Danio rerio: one gene and its partners. The protein of the gene in region 2 purifies or fractionates together with the protein of the main gene of each other region. This does not show direct contact. Links are inferred from orthologs where the notes say so. Each region holds a gene or a part of one and is shown on either strand. Other genes may lie near its edges.

Region 1 (6,663 bases), on a different chromosome or scaffold from region 2:
AAAAAAAAAAAAAGACGTGATAGTGTAATTACAAACTGAAATGGAAATGACCTTATTTTAATATAGTCAGTCGTGAACTGAGGTGGGCCGGTGTGAGGCTTGAAACTCCAGAACTGAAAAGGAGTGCCACTCCGGCCCTGGTGTAAAGATTATTATGCGTTATTGAAACATCAAGAACGCAAGAAAGCAAAGAAAAATCACTTATAAATTAAAACTACTTTATTATTTTATGCAATGGCCTTACATTTAAAAGGGAAACCTAAGGGCGATCATAAGCAAAAAGACCCCAGCCTATAGGTGTTTTATGGAATAGCCTATCTTAAACTGACCAGCTATACGTTTTTCTTTTCCTCATTTATTTTGTCGCATGAACTCCTGTGCAATCGGAAAACTAGTGTAATGGCACATGCCATTTTTACCAGACTTGGGCAAAGTGTGCCTCTCACTACGCCCCCAAAGCACCAGCTGGCCCTCTTTGGCCCAAGGTATTCGGCGGGCCGAAAAAGGCCAACCGCTGGCCCCAAGGAAGCTCCGCTTTGGTCCGATCAGGCCCTGGAAGTGACAGTGGAAACGCGACAGGCCCTGGCTCACTCGCTTTAGGTGCGATAGTGGAAACGCTGCTATTGAAAAAGATGATGCACAGAGGAAAGATGAGTGTGAAGCTGCTTTTTACATTGGAGCTGTATGATAACTGCAACTACATTAATGTCAGTAGGAGGGGAGAGTAGCAAATAGGACTTGATGGCGAGTTTCATTTCACTTTTCTTTCATGACTTGCAAAATCGCCTGGGTTTGAATGCATTTCATTAGTTAATGTATTTTTTCTAACATAACCTACTTATGAACAATTTATTCATCATACTTCAACATTTACTAATGCATTATAACCAGATTCATGCTTGTTAACATTAGTTAATGCATCGGGAGTTAACATGAATAACTTTATATTCTTTAACTAACATAAACAAATACTGTAATAAACGTGTTGCTCATTGTTTGTTCATGTTAGTAAATGCATTAACTAACAAACTAATACAACCTTATTGTAAAGTGTTACCGATATTTCTATATAAACCACATTATATAGTTGCATTAGGAGAAAGATTGATGCATCTTCTCTTGTTCATTATTGATTATACAACCCCAGCATTGTTTGCTGCTCATTAAATCAGCTGCATCTGTTCCAGTGATATACAAGCCAAAGCTGATGTGTAAAAACAACACTCCCTTAAGTGCACCGGTGTCATTATTACCTTGTTGTAAAGTTTGATGTTTGTCCCTGGAGTGGTGGAGCCAAAATGAAAGACGAGCGGCGCCTGAACTGAGAAACCTTCTTCAACATCAGCAGGACGCTCGATGCACAGAGCCGACATGGTTCCAGGCACTGAGACCTGCAGGCCAAAACAATTAATCCCAAATGATGTTTAACAGAGCGAGGAATTTTTCACAGTATTTCCTATAATATTTTTTCTTCTGGAGAAAGTCTTATTTGTTTTATTTCGACTAGAATAATTGTTTTTATATTCATTTTAAGGTCAATATTATTAGCAACGTTACACAATGACTTGCCTAATAACTCTAACCTGTCTAATTAACCTAGTTAAGCCTTTAAATGTCACTTTAAGCTGAATACTAACATCTTGAAAAAAACATCTAGTCAAATATTACGTGCTGTCATCATGGCATAGATAAAATAAATCAGTTATTAGAAACATTATGTTTAGAAATGTGTTGGAAAAAAATCTCTGCATTATCAGAAATCGGGGAAAAAAAACAAACAGGAGGGCTGATAATACTTCAACTGTAGCGGCTCTATTTTGACGGTCCATGCGCAGAGCGCAAAACAGAGGGCGCAAACGCTTTCAGGGCATGTCAGGACGCGTTTTTGCTAATTTAAAGACAGGAAATCTGCCTTGCGCCGCGGCGCATGGTCTAAAAGGGTTGAGTTTATTTTCTTAATGAGTTATAGGGGTGTTTTGAGAATAAACCAATTAGAGTCTCATCTCCCATTCCCTTTAAGATCCAGCTGCGTTGCACCATAAGCGCATTTGCTATTTACAGGACGCAAAGTAAGTCTAAGTGGAAAAACTGAGCATTTCACAAGCAAACAGTTCACAGTTAACAGTTTTTTAACAGAAAACTGTTAAGAAGAGCATCTACTGCGTGAGAATGAGAGATAATGGATCTACTTTCACATTCGCTTTTGAATAGGGAAACCTTTACACACAGACATCAATTAGTCTATAAATAAATAATTGCATTTGTTAAGCGCAAATATTCGTTTCAAAACTATTTCTAAATTCAGTTCTAATTTCCAGCAAACGAATAAATGAATAATAATAACAAAGTGTGCTCAAAAACCTGAGTTATATCCTAAAACACATGCTGTGCCCCATATGGTCTAAAACCTGACAGGTGGACAAATCTAAGCTTGTTTTTAATAAAACAAATATAAATATGGATATAATAAATAATACTGCTAATAATAATAACATTATACAGAAGAAAATTGTTATGAATGAACTGAAAAAGCCTCTGGAGATGAAGACATAAAAGCAGTGATTTTTCATATTTATGTAGGCTAGAAAATCATATGTTTTGTAATATTTTAATCCTTTATATTTATATCCTATATCTATTATTATTATATCCTATATATATCCTTAATATTTACATGTTTTCATATGTAAAGATATTTGCCTATTGCTCTCTTGTGTGTATTAAGCAGTGTTAAGTGAGGTGCAACTCTGCGCCGGAGTTTAGACCGGGTTAGTTTTGGTCTAATGAAAAATCTATTATAGTTTCTCAAAATAGCAACGCGCCAGCAGTCCGCCTCAGAACGCCTTCTTTTTAGACCAGAACGCCTATGGCCGCACAAATGAGCGCTAATGCATTTGCTATTTAAACAGCGTAGCGCAACGCCTCAAAACGACTCTTGCGCCGAGCTGAAACTGGCAAACAAGTATTGCGCCACACTGCGCCGGGTGTATGATAGGGCCCTTGATCTTCACTTCTTAATAAGCCTGTTAGGTTTAGAAGATGCTGCATCGATCTCTCTGGCATCATTCACTTACACTGCTCTGGCCGACGTCCAGCTCCACCAGTGTAGGTCTGCGTCCCAGTCGCACTGCATAATTCAGCAGCATCCGACATACTGTTGACTTTCCAACATCGGTTGGGCCGACGACCATTACCTATGATGACAAATGCAGATTAAACAGATATTTAATATTCAGATAACAACCAAGAGCAGTTTATGCTTTATATTATTATGAGTTTGTATTCATTTTATTTATATATCAGTCAGTTTCTATTATTATTGGCCATACAGTTACAGCTGAAGGCAAAATTTTTAGACCTCCAGTGACATTTTAATTCTTCCGCTGTGTGTTCACGTACCCGAGGGCCTCTTTCGTTGTCTTTCTCTGCCTGCCGTCTCATCTGCTCTAGAGCCGCATGTGTGTTCAGGTACAGCAGCATCGGGGTATCTTTGGAGACATAAGCCACCTGCATTTACAGGAAAAAGCCATATTTGAGTTTGTTAATGTCATTTAAGTTTTGTTTTACTAGTGCACATTGTTAAACTTAATGTAAATAATGAGTGCAAGTTAATCTTCTGACAAAAACGTTTGTTTTTGTAATCTTCAATCAACGTCTGATTACAATCCAGCATTGAACTATGCATGTTTGCATTTTTTTTATGACAGTGGAAAAACCCCTAAATAGCAGCATACTCCAGTTTAGGTTGTGAAAATAAGAGTATGACATTGTTTAAAAGTGTAAAAGGGCTATTTCATGTTTAATCACGATTATAATTAAAACAGCATGCTTTTATTCAGTAATAGAAATCATTCAGGATGTCTCTGTACATTGCTGCATTCATCTTTCCCTCTATCCTGACTAGTCTTCCAGTTCCTGCTGCTGAAAAACATCCCCACAGCATGAAGCCAACACCACCATGCCTCAATGTAGGGATGCTATTAGCCTGCCTGCTTTTCTCCAAACGTAATGCCTGGCATTAACTCCAAAGAGTTCAATTTTCATCTCATCGGACCAGACAATTTAGTTTCTTATGGTTTGAGAGTCCTTCAGATGCCTTTTGGCAAATTTCAGGCGGGGAGTGTCTTCCGTCTGGCCACTCTACCATACAGGCCTGATTGGTGGATTGCTGCACTGATGGTTGTCCTTCTGTAAGGTTCTCCTCTCTCCACAGAAGAACGCTGGAGCTCAGACAGAGTGACCATCGGGTTATTGATCACCTCCCTGACTAATGCCCTTCTCCCTGATCACTCAGCTTAGATGGCCGGCCAGCTCTAGGAGTCCTGGTGGTTCTAAACAGCTTCCACTAACAGATGTTGGAGGCCGCTGTGCTCATTGGGACTTTCAGAGAAGCAAAAATGTTTCTGTAACCTTCCCCAGCCTTGTGCCAAGAGAAAATCCTGTCTCGGAGGACTACAGACAACTCCGTTGTCTTCAAGCTTGGTTTTTCCTTTGACATGCACTGTCCTATACACCTATAGACAGGTGTATGCCTTTTCAAATCATGTCCAGTCAACTGAATTTACCAGAGGTGGACATTTGAACAACTAAACGAATGCTTAAGTCTATTTAATTGATTGTATTTTAACAACATTACAACATTAATGCTGTAAAAAGGAACCTTATTAAATTGAAAATAGTCACAAAAACTTCCACCGTAAGTTCATCATTAGCTAAGAAACACTAGCTGTGCATATAGCCTGTTAGAAGTACATCAACACACTGAAATAAAAGTCAGGTTCAAGACTTGCTATCTCTCACCTCTGTTTTGCCTGAAAGTGCCACACCGCAGCCCTGCCAGGTAAACACAGCGATCTTAGAGCCAGGCCCGAAAGTGTATTTCTTATTGCGGTTCAGCTCAGATCCGAATATCTCAGCTAAGCCAGACAGCAGCTCCAGCTGGACTCGTTCTCCTGCTTCCACCTCAAAGCGCAGTTCTGTCTCTTTATCCAGGTCGAATCTGGTGCCTGAAGAACCAGCGCTGCCCGACGAGCTCAGGCCCTCCTCCACAGACTTTTCTGCAGCTTCTGCCGTCATGACTGTGAAGGAGAATTATCAGAGATGAAAAGGATTGTTTACATAACTGCAATCCATTATGAATTATTCTGTATGTTTAAAACCAGCAAATTATGCTATAAATTTCACGTCATGTACTTACTTTTATTCAAATTTCTGCTTAATAAAAAATTAAATAAAAAGATGGAAAGGGTTTTCAAGCATCAAAATAGATGGAATTTATATATTTATTCCAACATGCATAGAACGATGTGTCTTGTTTATATATTTTTTCATATGATAGAAGACAGTAGTGCTGCACAATACTAAGCACTGTTTTTAAGTATTGCAATAATTATATTTCTTGTGATATAAAACCTCCAGATAGATTTTTAAACTTACAAAAATAAATAGGCAATAGATTTTTCTGATCTAATTAAATCTAATTTATTCAACAAAGAACAACAACGTCATAGAGTAAAAATTTTGACTTTAAATCACTATGAATGAATTTTCTATCGTCTCGACTCCTGCCATTAGTGTATTTTTAGTTCCCCTTTGGGACGGTCTAGCCAACATCAAAACAGCACCTACTGGGGACACAGGTATAAAGTGTAAAGCCCCATCCAATTGGTCAAATTTGGACAATTAACCAAATGCATGCAACACACAAATTCTTGTCACATAAAATAAATGCAAATTATTGCACCTCTCTGTCATATGAATACTGCAATTTGATATATTCAATTTATTTCAAGAGTTCACACTTAGATACTGTTCGACAACTTGTTAGCAAGTTAGCAGGTTTGGCGTGCTGTCCCGGGAGAGAACCCTGAGCTCGGAGATAGTTGAGCCCAGGGCTCCCGCCAGGTCCATTGAGCATGTGAGGGGAGTACGAGATCAGGAGTTCTCGAGAGCTCCCCTAGGCAAAAGAGGAAAGGAGGAGAAGGGGTGGATGGGGGGTTTCTTCGGGAAACGAAGATAAGGGAGTAGTTCTTAGCTAGTTAGCTAGGTTACTTATAGTGAGTTTGGATCAATCTGATTGGCTAGCTAATGAGTGTAGATGAGTGGCCAGCTGCAGTCAATCATATCACATGCTCCTCTCGAAATTAGTTTGTGAAACTTCATTTAGGACAACCACTAAAATGCTATTCAGTGTAACAATCTTATATACAGGGTGGGGGAATAGTAACTAGGCTATTTTAATAGCTATAGAAGTTTTAGTATGACTGGAGTCACAATGAAAGCAGTCTATAAACAGATTAATAAAAAGAATTTTATATTTTCCATGTTAATATTTGAAAAAATTGACTTCATTACAATTTTTTATTGCCTGGTTATATATATATATATTCTAGTTGATCATTTGGAAAAGTGGCAGAAGGTAGATTATTCCAATGAATTATTTGTTGAACTGCATCTTAATCATCACAAATACTGCTGAAGACCTACTGGAGCCCACATGAACCTAAGGTTCTCATAGAAATCAATCAAGTTTGGTGAAGGAGAAATCATGGTTTGGGGTTACATTCAGTATGGGGGCGTGCGAGAGATCTGCAGAGTGGATGGGAACATCAGCAGCCTGAGGTATCAAGACATTTGTGCTGCCCATTACATTACAAACCACAG
Region 2 (7,425 bases):
CAACGCGGAAAGTAATGGCGTCATACGGCCTGTAGCGTTCGCTTGAAAAATGAAATGCACCCATACGTACCTCCAGCTACATGATTTGCGGTCTCCAGAAACGTCCGCGGGACTACGTTTTCAGAATGAGCCTGGGTTGGCTTAATTATTGCGGTTGCCAAATATCCAATTATTTACAATGTTTTCCTACAGTGACATACATAAAAAAGTTACTGGCGAGTTACTGATGTGCATTAGCATTATATATGTATTTTTTGTTTAAAAAAAAAGAAAGAAAAAAAAGGAAAAAAAAGTGTGAATCTCATGCTTACTATAACGACAGTACAAAACAGTATTGCTGCTTCAGAATATCTCAGACATATGGACACGTACTGGATAAGTGGAGCAAAGCCACACCACACGCAACAACTTAATCTTCTACAGTTAAATGAATTTGATAAAAAGTGTGCAACTTTTTGCACGCTAAAAGGCATGTTTTATGCAGGATTGTAACTGATTTGCTGCAACGACCTCTTTAAATACGAGATCAATGTTGCGAATTTTGACACTCTCGCCGGTGGAGCAGGGAAGGCAGACAACGTTGTCATCAGGGCATCCAGAGCGAACTTACATTTACATTCACATTTAGTCATTTAGCAGACGCTTTTATCCAAAGAGACTTACAAATGAGTACGCAGAAGCAATTTACACAACTATAAGAGCAACAATGAATAAGTGCTGTAGGCAAGTTTTTTGAGTACAGTTAGCGGTGGAGCCAGGGAGGCAATTGCAGATTAGGAAGGAAAGTGGAGATTAGGAAGGAAGCTTTGACGCTCGCACCGTCTTCAATGTGGACGCACAAATACTAATTTACTAATGAGCAAGATATCGTCACTAACAGGTGGGGTTTTTACCCTTCTGATGACGTTAAAAAGGGAGAATGTCCAGAATGTGTTTTTGCAAGTGTGATTATAAAAAATATATATTATTTTTTTTCCATTAGAGGCTGATTGTATTCACACACTGCTGCCACACATAATAGGTCCCCTTTAAATGAAATAAAACACAGTGATTTTGCTTTCGCATAAAATAAAACCGCCTAAATCTAGCTTAAAGGTGTAAAATCAAATAAATCAGTGTCTGGCATGGGGAAAACATGCCATAAAAATGTTTCCTTAGAATACTTCACTACAAAATACATGAACAAATCGCATCTTATTTGGTGTAGTGTGTATATGTATGAAAATATTTAATTTGCCACACTTGCATGCAAGCATTTGGAAAGTGCTTGAAAAGTGCTTAAATTTGATTTTAAAAAAGTATATGGACCCTGTTTCTTGTTATTTTAGATGGCTTTTTAGAACTTTCAAAGAGACTTTCTTCTTTCTGGAGTAATCCGGTTTATACAAAAGAATAAGAATACAGAATAGGAAAACACTATGCTTTAAAGGTTTGGAGAGAAAATACTTTTTTATTCAGTGAGGATGCATTAAGAAAATTATTTCTGAAGGAATGTTTGACATTGAAGAATGCAGTAATTATGCTGAAAATTTAGCGTTGAATTACAGGAATAAATTAAAATTGAAAACATGTTCAAATTTAAACAATTATATTAGATTGTAAGAATATTTGACTGCTTATGTGCTTTTAAACTCTAGTGTTTATTATTATAACACATATTCTGTTGGGGTTTTTGTTTATGTGACTTGTTTCAATGCAGGTAGTTTGTAGCCTTTTAAAGATCTTTTTCTACAACATTGTGTAAACCTGCCGGTCCTACACCACCCAACCCGCTCTGAGCTGGTATCGATCTGGCGACCTTCCGCATGGGAGTCGGTTGCACTAACAAGGAGGCTAAACACCATGGCCTTTAGTGTGGGTTGCTAGAGCACCTTTAGAGGTCAGATGAGTAAGGTTTACCTGCACACACTAGCTGGCCTCCGTTACAATTGCACACATTTTTACATTTGTTTCTAATTTACATACCAGAGGAAGAATAAATCTTATTTTGCTTCATGACTATGCACTGTCCTATTGTAATAAAGACTGAACCCCGAAAATAAATCTTAAAAAAATGGCTTTAACAAAATAAATAGATAGCTACATAAAAAGAAGTTAATGTGTAGGTGTATTAATCTGTTACAGCTTTTCCAAATAGGACTATTTCTGATATGTCTTCTAAAGTATATACTGCATATGTTGAGCGCTATATAAAAGAAGATATTAGTATATTTTTATAAGCCACAGTCATACAATATGTATAAATGCGTTACTGTTTTGTAGTGTAATTATTTTGAAAAATCAATAAAGAATTGGAATTAACAGTTGTATTTTTGACTGATAATAGACTGGCAGACAACTTCTATAACAAACTGTAAAAATAAAAAATAAGATTTGTCCTGAATTCGTCTGTATCAATGCGGGCCTATTGAGATAGTGTACTGTTTCTACACGGATTCATATAAAGACGGGACAATAACAATCTGGTTGTGTTCAACGACCGATCTATATTAGAACATTATTAAAGCCTTATACGCACCAATTAATCAAGATATACACTAGGTAATGAACTATTATTTTTTAGAAAGAAGCTTGAATCGTACAAAGCAATTATTTTTCGCAAATAATTATATGGTTTTTGAAGTCAAGCTACGTTCGCACAGTGGGCGTCGCTGATTTGAAGTCCATTCGACACTTGTTGTAGTATGTAAATATTGGCCAATCGCCGTCTCTGTTGTTGCCTCATGACTATTAAATTAAGTACGTGATTGGTTTTGTAGAAAAGCGACTTACTAAATATTCATAACAACAGCCTTCGGGGTAGTAGGATTCGCAATTCACACATGTTCTAGTGTACGCGCACATGGTAAATCAGCAAACACGATTTTTGCCACACGCATTGATTCATTATGGGCTTTTAAAAAACGGAAGGAGAGTTGATAATTGTGATGGACGAAGCAAATCCAGCAAATCCTCCTCCGAACTGGATCCAGCAGCACACTGTCGTAAGAGAGTCACATTCTTCTTCATGTAAAGATAAATGAATGTAAATGTGTACTGCATATGTGTACAATTGTTGTTTAATTTGTTCTTCAGTACCAAGAGCTGATGCGTTTAGAAGTCGGAGACAGTGTTCAAGTACATGCTGCCTTCCTGGTGTACATGGATCTGACGGAAGGTGATGTCAACAGTCTAAAAGTACCGTAGAATATCAAGTTGAACATCCCCCCCAAAAGAATATGCCACAGTTTTTGATGCAATCCCTGACTTTGTTATATTTTTAGTCCAATCTGGCCCCAAAGGTTCTCTAGATTCTTTTATTATTGGCTTTTTATACTTTTTGATGACCAAACTCTTCTCAGTTTTATGTCGAACAAAGATATTCGCTTGGTTATTAATAATTCTCGGATATCTTTACCTGCTTGCATAGACATAGATTGGGATCAGTTTTGTCTTCTTAGGAAAAAAAATATTTGTATCTAATAAAGCTGTTGTAGTCTCAATCAAAATCAATCATAATACATAACCCAATAAATACTAAACTAGCTCAATTTAAAAACAATATTATTCCCTAAATGTTCATTTTGTACTCAATATGATGAAACACTAAATAATTTATTTTGGGAGTGCACTTATTGTAAAGTTTTTGGGTCGACTTCCAATTTCATAAAAAAAAATTTTTTCCCAAACTTTTGTATTTCCCCAAAAATTGTATTCTTTGGTTACTCTCTGAATGTAGATCCTTCTCATTGTACATTTATTATTAATTTATTATAAATTTTACATCCATAAATGTACATTTTCGAAGAAACACCCTTACTTTTTATTTTCAGAAAGGACTTTGATTTATATGTGAACTCTTTAAAAGACTAACAATTATATTGCATGAAAACTTTTCTTGGTGTAAATCATTTAAACTTGTTTAATCTGCTGGATTTTTATTTATGTAACCCCTGTGTGTTTTTGTTCATATTGTATCTTTGTAATGTTCCTTCTTGCATAAAATAAAATCAAGTTGAAACTATAAAAAGAGACTAAATGACCCTTAAAGGGCAGTTCACCCCAAAATGTTATTTACCCATTTACTCACCTTTAAGAGATTCCGGACAACATCTGCTGAATACAACAGAACCCACTCGTCAAACGACCTGTTTTCAATACTGAAATATGATTGAAATCAGATGTATTGTTTTTTTTGTTTTTTTACATTGAAACAATGTTGATACATTGTTTGATGTAGAACGGTTGAAAACCAACCTGCATACGACCAAGCTCCAATGTTGAAATACGGTTGAAAGTACGTCAGTTGTTGTTTCAGTGTTAAATGATAAACCTTACAGTGTTTCTGTATTATAAAAAATATTAGCCATTGACTTCCATGTTTTTTTCCTACTATGGAAGTCAATGGCTATCGGTTTTCGACATTCTTCAAAACACCTTCTTTTTGGGTTCATCAGCAGAAGGAATCCCATAAAGGGTTTGGAACCACTTGAGAGCGAGTAAATTAATATTTCATTTTCGGATGAACTATCCCTTTAATCTTTGTTTACAGTGCGTAAATGGAAAGATGTGGTCGGGGTTTCCTGTCCGGAGTTACAGGCGGTTCTTCTGGAGGGTCGAGAGAAGGAAGGAGAATCGGTCCAGATGATTTACCCTCTGCCTTCACACAGATCCATCAAGCACAGAGAGTAAGGGTGCTTCCACACTTGTGTTCGATTCAGTTGTTCCGAAACAGAGATTACAAATGTTGCATTGTTGCTCTTTGCTCTTGGTGCGGTTCGCTTTCACACTGCAAAGTTTCCAGTCGGACCAAAAGAGCTAAAACAAGTCACGTGCGAGTAAACTCTCCTTACATTGGTCAGAGTGTCAGGATTTATTTTACAGCGTCCCGCTAAGCTGTCAGGAGAGGTGGTGGTTTGGTGGTGATTGACAGGGTGCGCACGCGTGACGTGTCTGAGGAGAGACGCGGTGGGGAGGGGTGAGAAGGGTGCGCGACGATGCCTATTTGAGGACTGGGAGGGAGACGCGAGATTACCAGGAGATCATCACTCGTTTGCGGGCATCCAGAGACTCGCGAAACTTCCCGCCATACTCATAATTCTCTCTTCATATAGCCGTAAGCCTATTACATATCCATAAAACACTGTGATATAACCGCGCTCGGATCGGATCGCTTTCTCACTGCAATCGAACCGCTCCAGGGTTCGTTTCAATCGAGCCGAGACCACCTCATTCAAGCGATCTCGGAGCGACTAGTTTGGCGCAGAACAGAGCGCGATTGAAACTGTTCACATATGCCAAACGAAACGCACTAACTGGGCAAACGAGACACATTCCAAAACAAAAGTGTAGGTGTGAAAGCACCCTAAGACACGCTGTCAGCATTTACTGTAAAGTCACTGCAAGTAGTAATAAGTGCTTTCAAAACACTGCACCTTGAGACTTTAGGTTTAAACTTAAAATAATGTTCATTCATTCATTTTTTGTTCGCTGGCTCAGTGCCTTATTTACCAGGGATCGCCACAGCAGAATGAGCCACCAACTATTCCAGCATATGTTTTATGCAGTGGATGTCTTTCCAGCCGCAACTCATTACTGGGAAACTAAAATAATGTTAATGTGGGTTTTTATATTCTATTACTTTAATCTTAATACGTTAATTTTGCAATTTTTTTTTGCAACACCTTTTACAATATTCAACATGATAGTCGATTTTAATGGAATAGTTCACCCAGAAATGATTATTACCCCATAATTTACTCACTCTCATACCATCTCAAAAAATGTAACTACTTGTCGCAATGACGCGTAGCGGTAGCTCTGTGATTGGTCGGCTTGGTAGCGCTGACGAGTGTGAACGGGACCGAGAGCTCCAGATGAAAAGTTTTGTTTTGTGTTTACCTTATAATTAAAGTGCACTTCAGCCGGTTCCTCCCTCAAAATGAGCGAGTTTGAACCACTTGTACATTTAAGGAAGCGTTCAGGAAAAAACAAAACACCAGCGTAGAAACTCGACACAGAGGAACATAAAACCCTCACTGGCAACTAGCTTTTCGGAAATGTTAATGCAGAGCAACAGAAACAGTGCGCAGAAGTATGAATGCACAGTTAAGCCTGGTTTATACTTCTGCGTCAAGTGACCGGCGTAACTCACGGCGCAGGCAACGCGCGCAGCTGTGCATTTATACTTCTGCGCGCTGTCTCTGTTGGTCTGAATTAACACTTCCGAAACTCTAGTTGGCAGTGAGGTGTAAATGTTTCTCTGTGTCGAGTTTCTTCACTTTTTTTGCTTTTCCTGAACGCTTCCAGGATGTACAAGTGGCTCAAACTTGCTCATTTTGAGGCAGGAACCGGCGGACGTGCAACAACTTTAACCATGAGGTAAACACAGAACAAAACTTTCCGGAGTTCCTTCACGGGACTCCACACTTGTAAACAATCGCTCGCGCCATTCGCGTGGCTCTCGGTCCCGCCCAGACTCGTCAGCGCTACCAAGCCGACCAATCACAGAGCTTGCGCTACGCGTTGTTGCGACGTGTAGTTACATTTTTTTAGAGGCGCACGTCAGTGACGCCGATGGCCACGGCGAAGGGCTATGCGTCAGCGCCGTAGCATACGCCGGCATTTTACGGAGAAGTATAAATCAGCCTTTACGCGCATTGCATGCTCCGTGGGTCACGCCGATCACTTGACGCAGAAGTATAAACCAGGCTTTAGTCGGAGTGGTTTTCAATTGTATTCTGCATGCTGTATAATGGTATTGGATGGTGGCTTTTATTTTGAAGCTTTCAAAAATCAAACTATCCCATATGGTGCCAAAGTGTTAATGCTTGTATTATGAAACAGATCAATGTGTATTTATAACAACAACAAAAAATCCAAATCAACGAAATTCCACTCACTGGCAGCCAAACGCATGTTATGCGCAACTGACGTTACGTACAGTTGAATTATTCAGAATTATTAGCCCTCCTGAATTATTAAATTAATTTCTTTTAACGGAGAGATTTTTTTCAACACATTTCTAAACAATAGTTTAGAATATATATATATATATATATATATATATATATATATATATATATATATAATAACTGATTTATCTTTGCCATTAGGACAGTACATAATATTTGACTAGATGTCATATTACAGCATAGATTGTAAAATATATGGCTGTAGTATCCATTAAGTCACCCATAGGTTTCTTAAGAGCGCAAATGAAGCAACAAGTAGGCGTGGCCAACCGTCTTCATTTTGTTTGTGTGTGTTCACACCAACCGGGGCTGACCAAATAAGAGCAAAGAGGAGGAGCGTCAGAGGAGCTACAAACGCCTGCTAGCATTTTGCTTAGACAGGCTTTTCTTTGGGAGAAACGCTTAATACATCATTACCTGCGACTCGTTTGTGTTCTGACTGCATGTGCTTGCCTGTTGAGGATTTATCAAG
Region 3 (6,663 bases), on a different chromosome or scaffold from region 2:
AATCGCCCTGAGATGCACAGGTGCTGTTTTCAGTTCAGTTTTAGACAAATGTGACCGCTGACTTCCATCAACCAAGAAGACTTTCCTGCTCAATTTTTTGTCTCATTTCTAGTCCAAATATCTAAAAACTCCTAAATCAAGAAGCTTTTTCTAGAAAAGCACAAAATATTGTGGTGTTTTCAGAAATAATGAGTCAAATTTAACTGAGTTTTTCCATAAAAGAAGCGAAAATAATCCACCAATTGGGGAAACAATCTCAAAAATGATTTCTCTTCTCTCATTAGCAGATTATTTGACTTGTTTTAAGGTAAAACACTTAATTTTGACTCATTATTTCTGTAAACAACACAATATTTTGTGCTTATCTAAGCTTAGCTTCTTGAATTAAGACTTTTTTAATCCAATAAGAGTCACTAAACGATGATAGAAACGGTTATTTTAGGGTAAACTCTCCGTCCATAATCCCCCTGAGATGCACAGGTGCTGTACTGAGTCGAGTTGTAGTTTGATAAATGCAGCTTTAATACACATCAGTTGGAAGTTTAAAGTCTTTGAAGCAGTAAAAGGAGATGTCACCGTGATCCACCACTGCGAATGTCACCGGGACGTCCTGGCTCTGGAAGGAGAGCTGCTTCACAGCATGCAGATCCGGCACAGGGCCCGCAAAACTGACAAACACACACACACAAACACAGTACGTCAGATCAGACGCTCACATACAGAGTCACACACGTTACACGGTATGATATGCAGTGAAGGTGGCTCAGTGGTTAGCACTGTGGCCTCACAGCAAGAAGGTCGCTGGTTCGAGCCCCGGCTGGGTCAGTTGGTGTTTCTGTGTGGCGTTTGCATGTTGGCGCGGGTTTTCTCCGGGTGCTCCAAACACATGCGCTGTAGGGGAATCCCTAAATTGGCCGTAGTGTAGGAGTGTGTGTGTGTGAATGAGTGTGCATGGGTGTTTCCCAGTACTGGGTTGCAACTGGAAGGGTATCCGCTGTGTAAAACATGCTGGAATAGTTGGCGGTTCATTCTGTTGTGATGAAAAAAGGGACTAAGCTGATGGAAAATGCATGAATTAATAAATAAATAAACAATAGAGCTTAAACTACGGTGAAATAGAAGTTATGCGAGAGAAAATAAGAGCAAATATAAAATATTTTAAGATTTTTGAATAGAGAAATCATTAGAGCTGAACCGATATTGGCCGATACCGATAGTTAGGTCAGACCATGCATGCAGATAATCAATTGATTAACTGATTAATTAATTAATACTGGATTAAAATAAATAAATAAACAAAGCACTCATTGTAAAACAGTATTAAATGTGTATACACACACACACAAACTGATATAGATCAACTGATTTTGGAATTTGCAGATAGTGATAGCTGGGATGGACCAAATATGCAGATAAACGATTAATTAACAAACTTAATTAACTTTAAAAATGAATACTGGATTATATACAATAACAGAATAAACATACAGTCCATGTAAAATAGTAATGAACTTGTATACACACACACACACACCCACACACACACACACACACACACACACACACACACACACATATACTACACTGAAAATATATGCTAAATTAATAACCGATGAAAATAAATAGGCTGTCACGATGGTGCAGTGTGTAGCACGATCACCTCACAACAATAAGGTCGCTGTTTCGAGCCTCGGCTGGGTCAGTTGGCATTTCTGTGTGGAGTTTGCATGTTCTCCCCGTGTGGTCGTGGGTTTCAACCGAGTGCTCCGGTTTCCCACAGTCCAAACACATGCGCCAAAGGGGAATTGAGTAGGCTAAATTGTTCGTAGTCTATGAGTGTGTATGGATGTTTCCCAGTGATGGGTTGCGGCTGGAAGGTCATCCGCTGCGTATGCTGGATAAGTTGGCGGTTCATTGTGTTGTGGCGACCCATGATTATTAAAGGGACTAAGCCGAAAATAAAATAAACAAGTGAACGATTGAATACAAATAATCATAACACTCATTGTAACATAGAACTAAATGTGTACACACACACACACACACACACACACACACAGAACTGAAAATGTGCTAAATGATAGTAAACCAAAAGCATTCATTGAGAAACACAAATCTTAGTCCATTTTAATAGTATTTTTGACATTTAAACTGATTTAAAGTAATACCCCTGCTAGCTTTAATCTCATCTGAGAATTTTTATACTGTACTTTAGAATATATGCCTAAAAACTGCTCTTTTACTCATGTAAATAAACATGAGACCTCAAAAGGTTTAGATTTCCCCGTATTATGTTCCATGTCATTGATAAATTCAGTAAAAACCCAAACTAATCATCCAGAATGAATCAGCAGTGAGTAAAGATCCACCGACTGTATGATTAAGACAAAACGTAAAAGACACCAGTCATTGTGCGCCATCATAAAGCATGAAATCAATCACTGGACTCATTTGGGTGCATTGTGTGTGTGTGTGTGTGTGTGTTTACCTGCAGACACACATGCGTGTGTAAGGCTTTCCAGGGTGGCTCTTTTTAAACTCCGCCACCGTGTCTGGTTGGTAAACATCGAAACTAATCTTCCACTGGTCTGACGGGGACAATCTGAGGAAACAGAGGCTAATTATGATCTCGAACGCTTGTTTGACTCGCTTCATTCTGAGAGAAGAGTCAAAGCAGCCAGTTTCATGACATCACTGTGGTGTAAGTTTCATTAAAACACACGGACAATGGCTTTAAAAAGATTTAAACATTAAAAAAGCCAGACTCGAATGTTGAATTGCGTCCGTATTAGTTTCAAGAGGGAGAGCGGGAGGTTGCCATAATTCTTTTCTTTCTGTCTGTCTTTCTTTCCTTTTAATTTTTTTCTTCTTTTTCTTTCTTTCATTCATTCTTTCCTTTCTTCATTCCTACTGTCCTTCGTTCTTTCTTTCCTTTCCAATCGTTCTTTTTTATTTCCCCACTTTGTTGTATTTTACCATTGGAGTCAATGTAAATTTGCTGTGTTTTGGAGCCAGCCCCCGGTGGCCAGATGATGAATTGCAGTTTTGGTTACTTCTGTATTAGTTTCAAGTAGAAGAAGCAGGAGGTTGCCATTGTTCTTCCTTTCTGTACTTTTAATCCATTCTTTCTTTTCGCTTCTTTCTTTTCTTTTTCTTTTTTTTACTTCTCTTTCCTTCATTATTTCCTACTTTTTTCATTCCTACAGTCCATCGTTCTTTCTTTCCCCTGTTTCTCTTTCATTTCCCTACTTTCTTGTATTTTAACATTGGAGTCAATGTAAATTTGCTGTGTTTTGGAGCCAGCCCCCGGTGGCCAGTTGATGAACTGCAGTTTTAGTTACTGCTGTATTAGTTTCAAGTGGGAGAGTAGAAGGTTGCCATCGCTTCTTCCTTATTTATTTCTTTCATTTCCCTTTTTTTCTTTCATTATTTTTCTTTTCCTTTCTTTCCTTCATTCCTTCTTTCTTTCCTTGATTCCTTGTGTGCATTGTTCTTTCCTTTCCCTTCTTTCTTTCATTTCACTTCTTTCTTTTTCTTTCAATATACCTACTTTCTTGCATTAAACATTGGAGTCAATGTAAATATGCTCAGTTTTGGGGTCAGCCCCCAGTGGCCAGCTGAAGAATTGCAGTATGAGTAACTTCCGTATTAGTTTGGGAAGATTGCTACTTGACATACACATGGATATCGTTTGTCTCACCATCGTTTCATTTTCGTTAAATGAATTAATATATCTCTTTATTTGACATGGATCAAACGCTCAGACAGGGAAAGATAGTAAAAGGAGAGCAAACTGTGAGAGTGTATAAACACCTGGAAAGACCCTCAGAGAAAGTAGAGGACTTGATGATGCCGATCTGGTCCAGCAGTTCACCTGCAGCACACAAAATACAACAAGAGGAAAGTCACACGGGCATTTACCACAAACAAAAACTCTTAAGAGAACCTTTTTCTTGCAGTGCAGGCGACAGTGTAAGTCAGCCTTTAGTGGAGTCATAGTGCTGTTTTCTGTGAGGTGCACACGTGATGAACGGCATTCCTTTATTTAAATTGTTCTTTCTTTCCTTTCCCTTCTTTCTCTTTCCTTCAGTCCTTCTTTTTCTTTCCTTCATTCTTTCTTTTTTAAATTGTTCTTTCCTTTCCCTTTTTTCTTTCTTTCATTTCTTTCCTTATCTTTCTTCTTCTTTCTTTGTCTTTCCTCCAGTCATTTCTTTTTTTAATCATTACTTCATTTTACTGTCTTTCTTTGCGTTTGTTCTTTCTTTTACTTCTTACCTTCTTTCTTTCGATCATTCCCTCTTTCTTTCCCTCTTTCATCAATTCCTTTCTTTCCCTATTTTCTTGCTTTCTTTTCTCCAGCCCTTCTTTCTTTTTCTTTCCCCCTTTCTTTTACTTCTTACCTTCTTTCTTTCGATCATTCCCTCTTTCTTTCCCTCTTTCATCAATTCCTTTCTTTCCCTATTTTCTTGCTTTCTTTTCTCCAGCCCTTCTTTCTTTTTCTTTCCCCCTTTCTTTTACTTCATCTTTCTTTCCCTCTCTTTTCTACATTCTTTATTCTATCTTTCCATCTTTTTCTTTCTTTGCATCATTCTTTCTTTCTTCTACTTCTTTCCCTCATTACTTTTCTTTCCATTCTTTCTTTCTCTTGCCTTCAGTCCTTTCTTTTTTACTTTCCTTTTCTTTCTAACAATCTTACCTTCCCCCCTTTCTTTTACCTTTTCTTTCTTTCCCTCTCTTTTCTTCATTCCTGCTTTCTTTCCATCATTCTTTCTTTCTTTGTCTTTCCTTTAGTCCTTCTTTCTTTTTCTTTCAATCATTCTCTTTTTACTCTCTTTTACTTCATTCCTTATCTTTCTTTCCCTCTTTCATTAACTACTTTTCTTTCCCTATTTTCTTGCTTTCTTTTCTCCAGCCTTTCTTTTTCTTTCCACCATTCTTTCTTTTCCCCCTTTCTTTTACTTCTTTATCTTTCCCTCTTTTCTTCATGCTTTATTCTGTATCTTTCCATCTTTTTCTTTTCTTTGCATCATTCTTTCTTTTCTCTTTCTTTCTTCTACTTCTTTCCCTCATTCCTTTTCTGCTCTTTCCATTATTTCTTTCTCTTTCCTTCAGTCCTTCTTTCTTTTTCTTTCTAACAATCTTACATTTCCCCTTTCTTTTACTTATCTTTCTTTTTCTTTCTTTCCCTCTCTTTTCTTCATTCCTGCTTTCTTTCCATCATTCTTTCTTTATTTCTCTTTCCTTTAGTCCTTCTTTCTTTTTCTTTCAATCATTCTCTTTTTACTCTCCTTTACTTCATTCCTTATCTTTCTTTCCTTCTTTCATTAACTACTTCTTTCGTTCCCTTTTTTCTTGCTTTCTTTTCCCTTCAGTCCTTCTTTCATTCCTTATTTCTTTTACCTGCCATCATTCTTTCCTTTCCCCCTTTATTTTACTTCTTTCCTCATCTCTCTTTTCTTCATTCTACCTTTTCTTATCTCTCCATCTTTCTTTTCTTTCCATCATTCTTTCTTTTCACTTTTTTCTTGCTTTCTTTCCTTCAGTCCTTATTTCGTTCCTTCTTTCTTTTTCTTTCCATCATTCTTTCTTTTCCCCCTCTTTTACTTCTTTATCTTTCCTTTCCTCTCTTTTCTTCATTCTTTTATTCTATATCTTTCCATCTTTTTCTTTTCTTTGCATCATTCTTTCTTTTCACTTTCGTTCTTGTACTTCTTTCCCTCTCTTTCCTTCATTCCTTTTCTTTCTTTCTCTTTCCTTCAGTCCTTCTTTCTTTTTCTTTCTAACAATCTTACCTTTCCCCTTTCTTTTACTTCTTTCATTATCTTTCTTTCCCTCTCTTTTCTTCATTCCTGCTTTCTTTCCATCATTCTTTCTTTATTTGTCTTTTCTTTAGTCCTTTCTTTTTCTTTCAATCATTCTTTCTCTTTACTCTCTTTCTTTTACTTCTTTCCTTATCTTTCTTTCCCTCTTTTATTAACTCATTCTTTCGTTCCCTTTTTTCTTGCTTTCTTTTTCTTTCAGTCCTTCTTTCATTCCATCTTTCTTTTTCCTGCCATCATTCTTTCCTTTCCCCCTTTATTTCACTTCATTCCTCATCTTTCTTTTCCTCTCTTTTCTTCATTTTCTTATCTTTCCATCTTTTCTTTTCATCATTCTTTCTTTTCACCTTTTTCTTGTACTTCTTTCCTTATCTTTCTTTCCTTCATTCCTTTTCTTCCAACAATCTTTCTTTCCCCCTTTCTTTCTTTTACTTCTCTCCTTATTTATTTTTCTTTTGTTCCCTCTCTTTTCTTCATTCTTTCTTTCCTTATCTTTCCATCATTCATTCATTCGTTTTCTTTCCTTCATTCTTTCTGTCTTTCTTTCATTTCTCTTCTCCAGTCTTTACCCAGTCACCATTAAATCCTCTCCCAGTAAGCCTCATTATTCAGTCATCTAGTGTAAAGTACATCTTACGGTGTGATGTGCACTGTCCGGGCTGAGTGAGCGGCGTCTCCTCTCTCTCCCACAGGTGTTCAGGTCTGTGTTTTCTCCTCCGCCTCCTCCGTTCCTCCATCAGCTCTGAATATTCTGCCCAGTTCCTGCAGCGCCGCACCTCCCGGTCACTGTTAACATCCCTGCGGTATCTGTCCCGCTCCCTCTGTCGCTCCATGTCCCGCCGCG

The links.
Region 1: the proteins of tsen15 (region 2) and clp1 purify together in Homo sapiens (affinity purification with mass spectrometry; 4 studies listed by BioGRID and IntAct, counting the BioPlex papers as one, with this or other methods). This does not show direct contact. The link is inferred for Danio rerio from reciprocal best matches to the Homo sapiens genes TSEN15 and CLP1.
Region 3: the proteins of tsen15 (region 2) and tsen54 purify together in Homo sapiens (affinity purification with mass spectrometry; 4 studies listed by BioGRID and IntAct, counting the BioPlex papers as one, with this or other methods). This does not show direct contact. The link is inferred for Danio rerio from reciprocal best matches to the Homo sapiens genes TSEN15 and TSEN54.

What each region holds. Positions count from the first base shown.
Region 1 is NC_133189.1:53,769,498-53,776,160, reverse strand, and holds part of clp1 (polyribonucleotide 5'-hydroxyl-kinase Clp1), read right to left. Parts: intron 5,079-6,663; 5' UTR 5,077-5,078; coding exon 4,801-5,076; intron 3,508-4,800; coding exon 3,400-3,507; intron 3,195-3,399; coding exon 3,075-3,194; intron 1,392-3,074; coding exon 1,254-1,391; intron 1-1,253. UniProt on the Homo sapiens protein: Polynucleotide kinase that can phosphorylate the 5'-hydroxyl groups of double-stranded RNA (dsRNA), single-stranded RNA (ssRNA), double-stranded DNA (dsDNA) and double-stranded DNA:RNA hybrids. dsRNA is phosphorylated more efficiently than dsDNA, and the RNA component of a DNA:RNA hybrid is phosphorylated more efficiently than the DNA component.
Region 2 is NC_133177.1:10,293,714-10,301,138, forward strand, and holds the start of tsen15 (tRNA-splicing endonuclease subunit Sen15), read left to right. Parts: upstream 1-2,758; 5' UTR 2,759-2,927; coding exon 2,928-2,984; intron 2,985-3,075; coding exon 3,076-3,157; intron 3,158-4,531; coding exon 4,532-4,667; intron 4,668-7,425. UniProt on the Homo sapiens protein: Non-catalytic subunit of the tRNA-splicing endonuclease complex, a complex responsible for identification and cleavage of the splice sites in pre-tRNA. It cleaves pre-tRNA at the 5' and 3' splice sites to release the intron.
Region 3 is NC_133178.1:65,647,472-65,654,134, reverse strand, and holds part of tsen54 (tRNA-splicing endonuclease subunit Sen54), read right to left. Parts: coding exon 6,457-6,663; intron 3,875-6,456; coding exon 3,814-3,874; intron 2,603-3,813; coding exon 2,489-2,602; intron 669-2,488; coding exon 521-668; 3' UTR 1-520.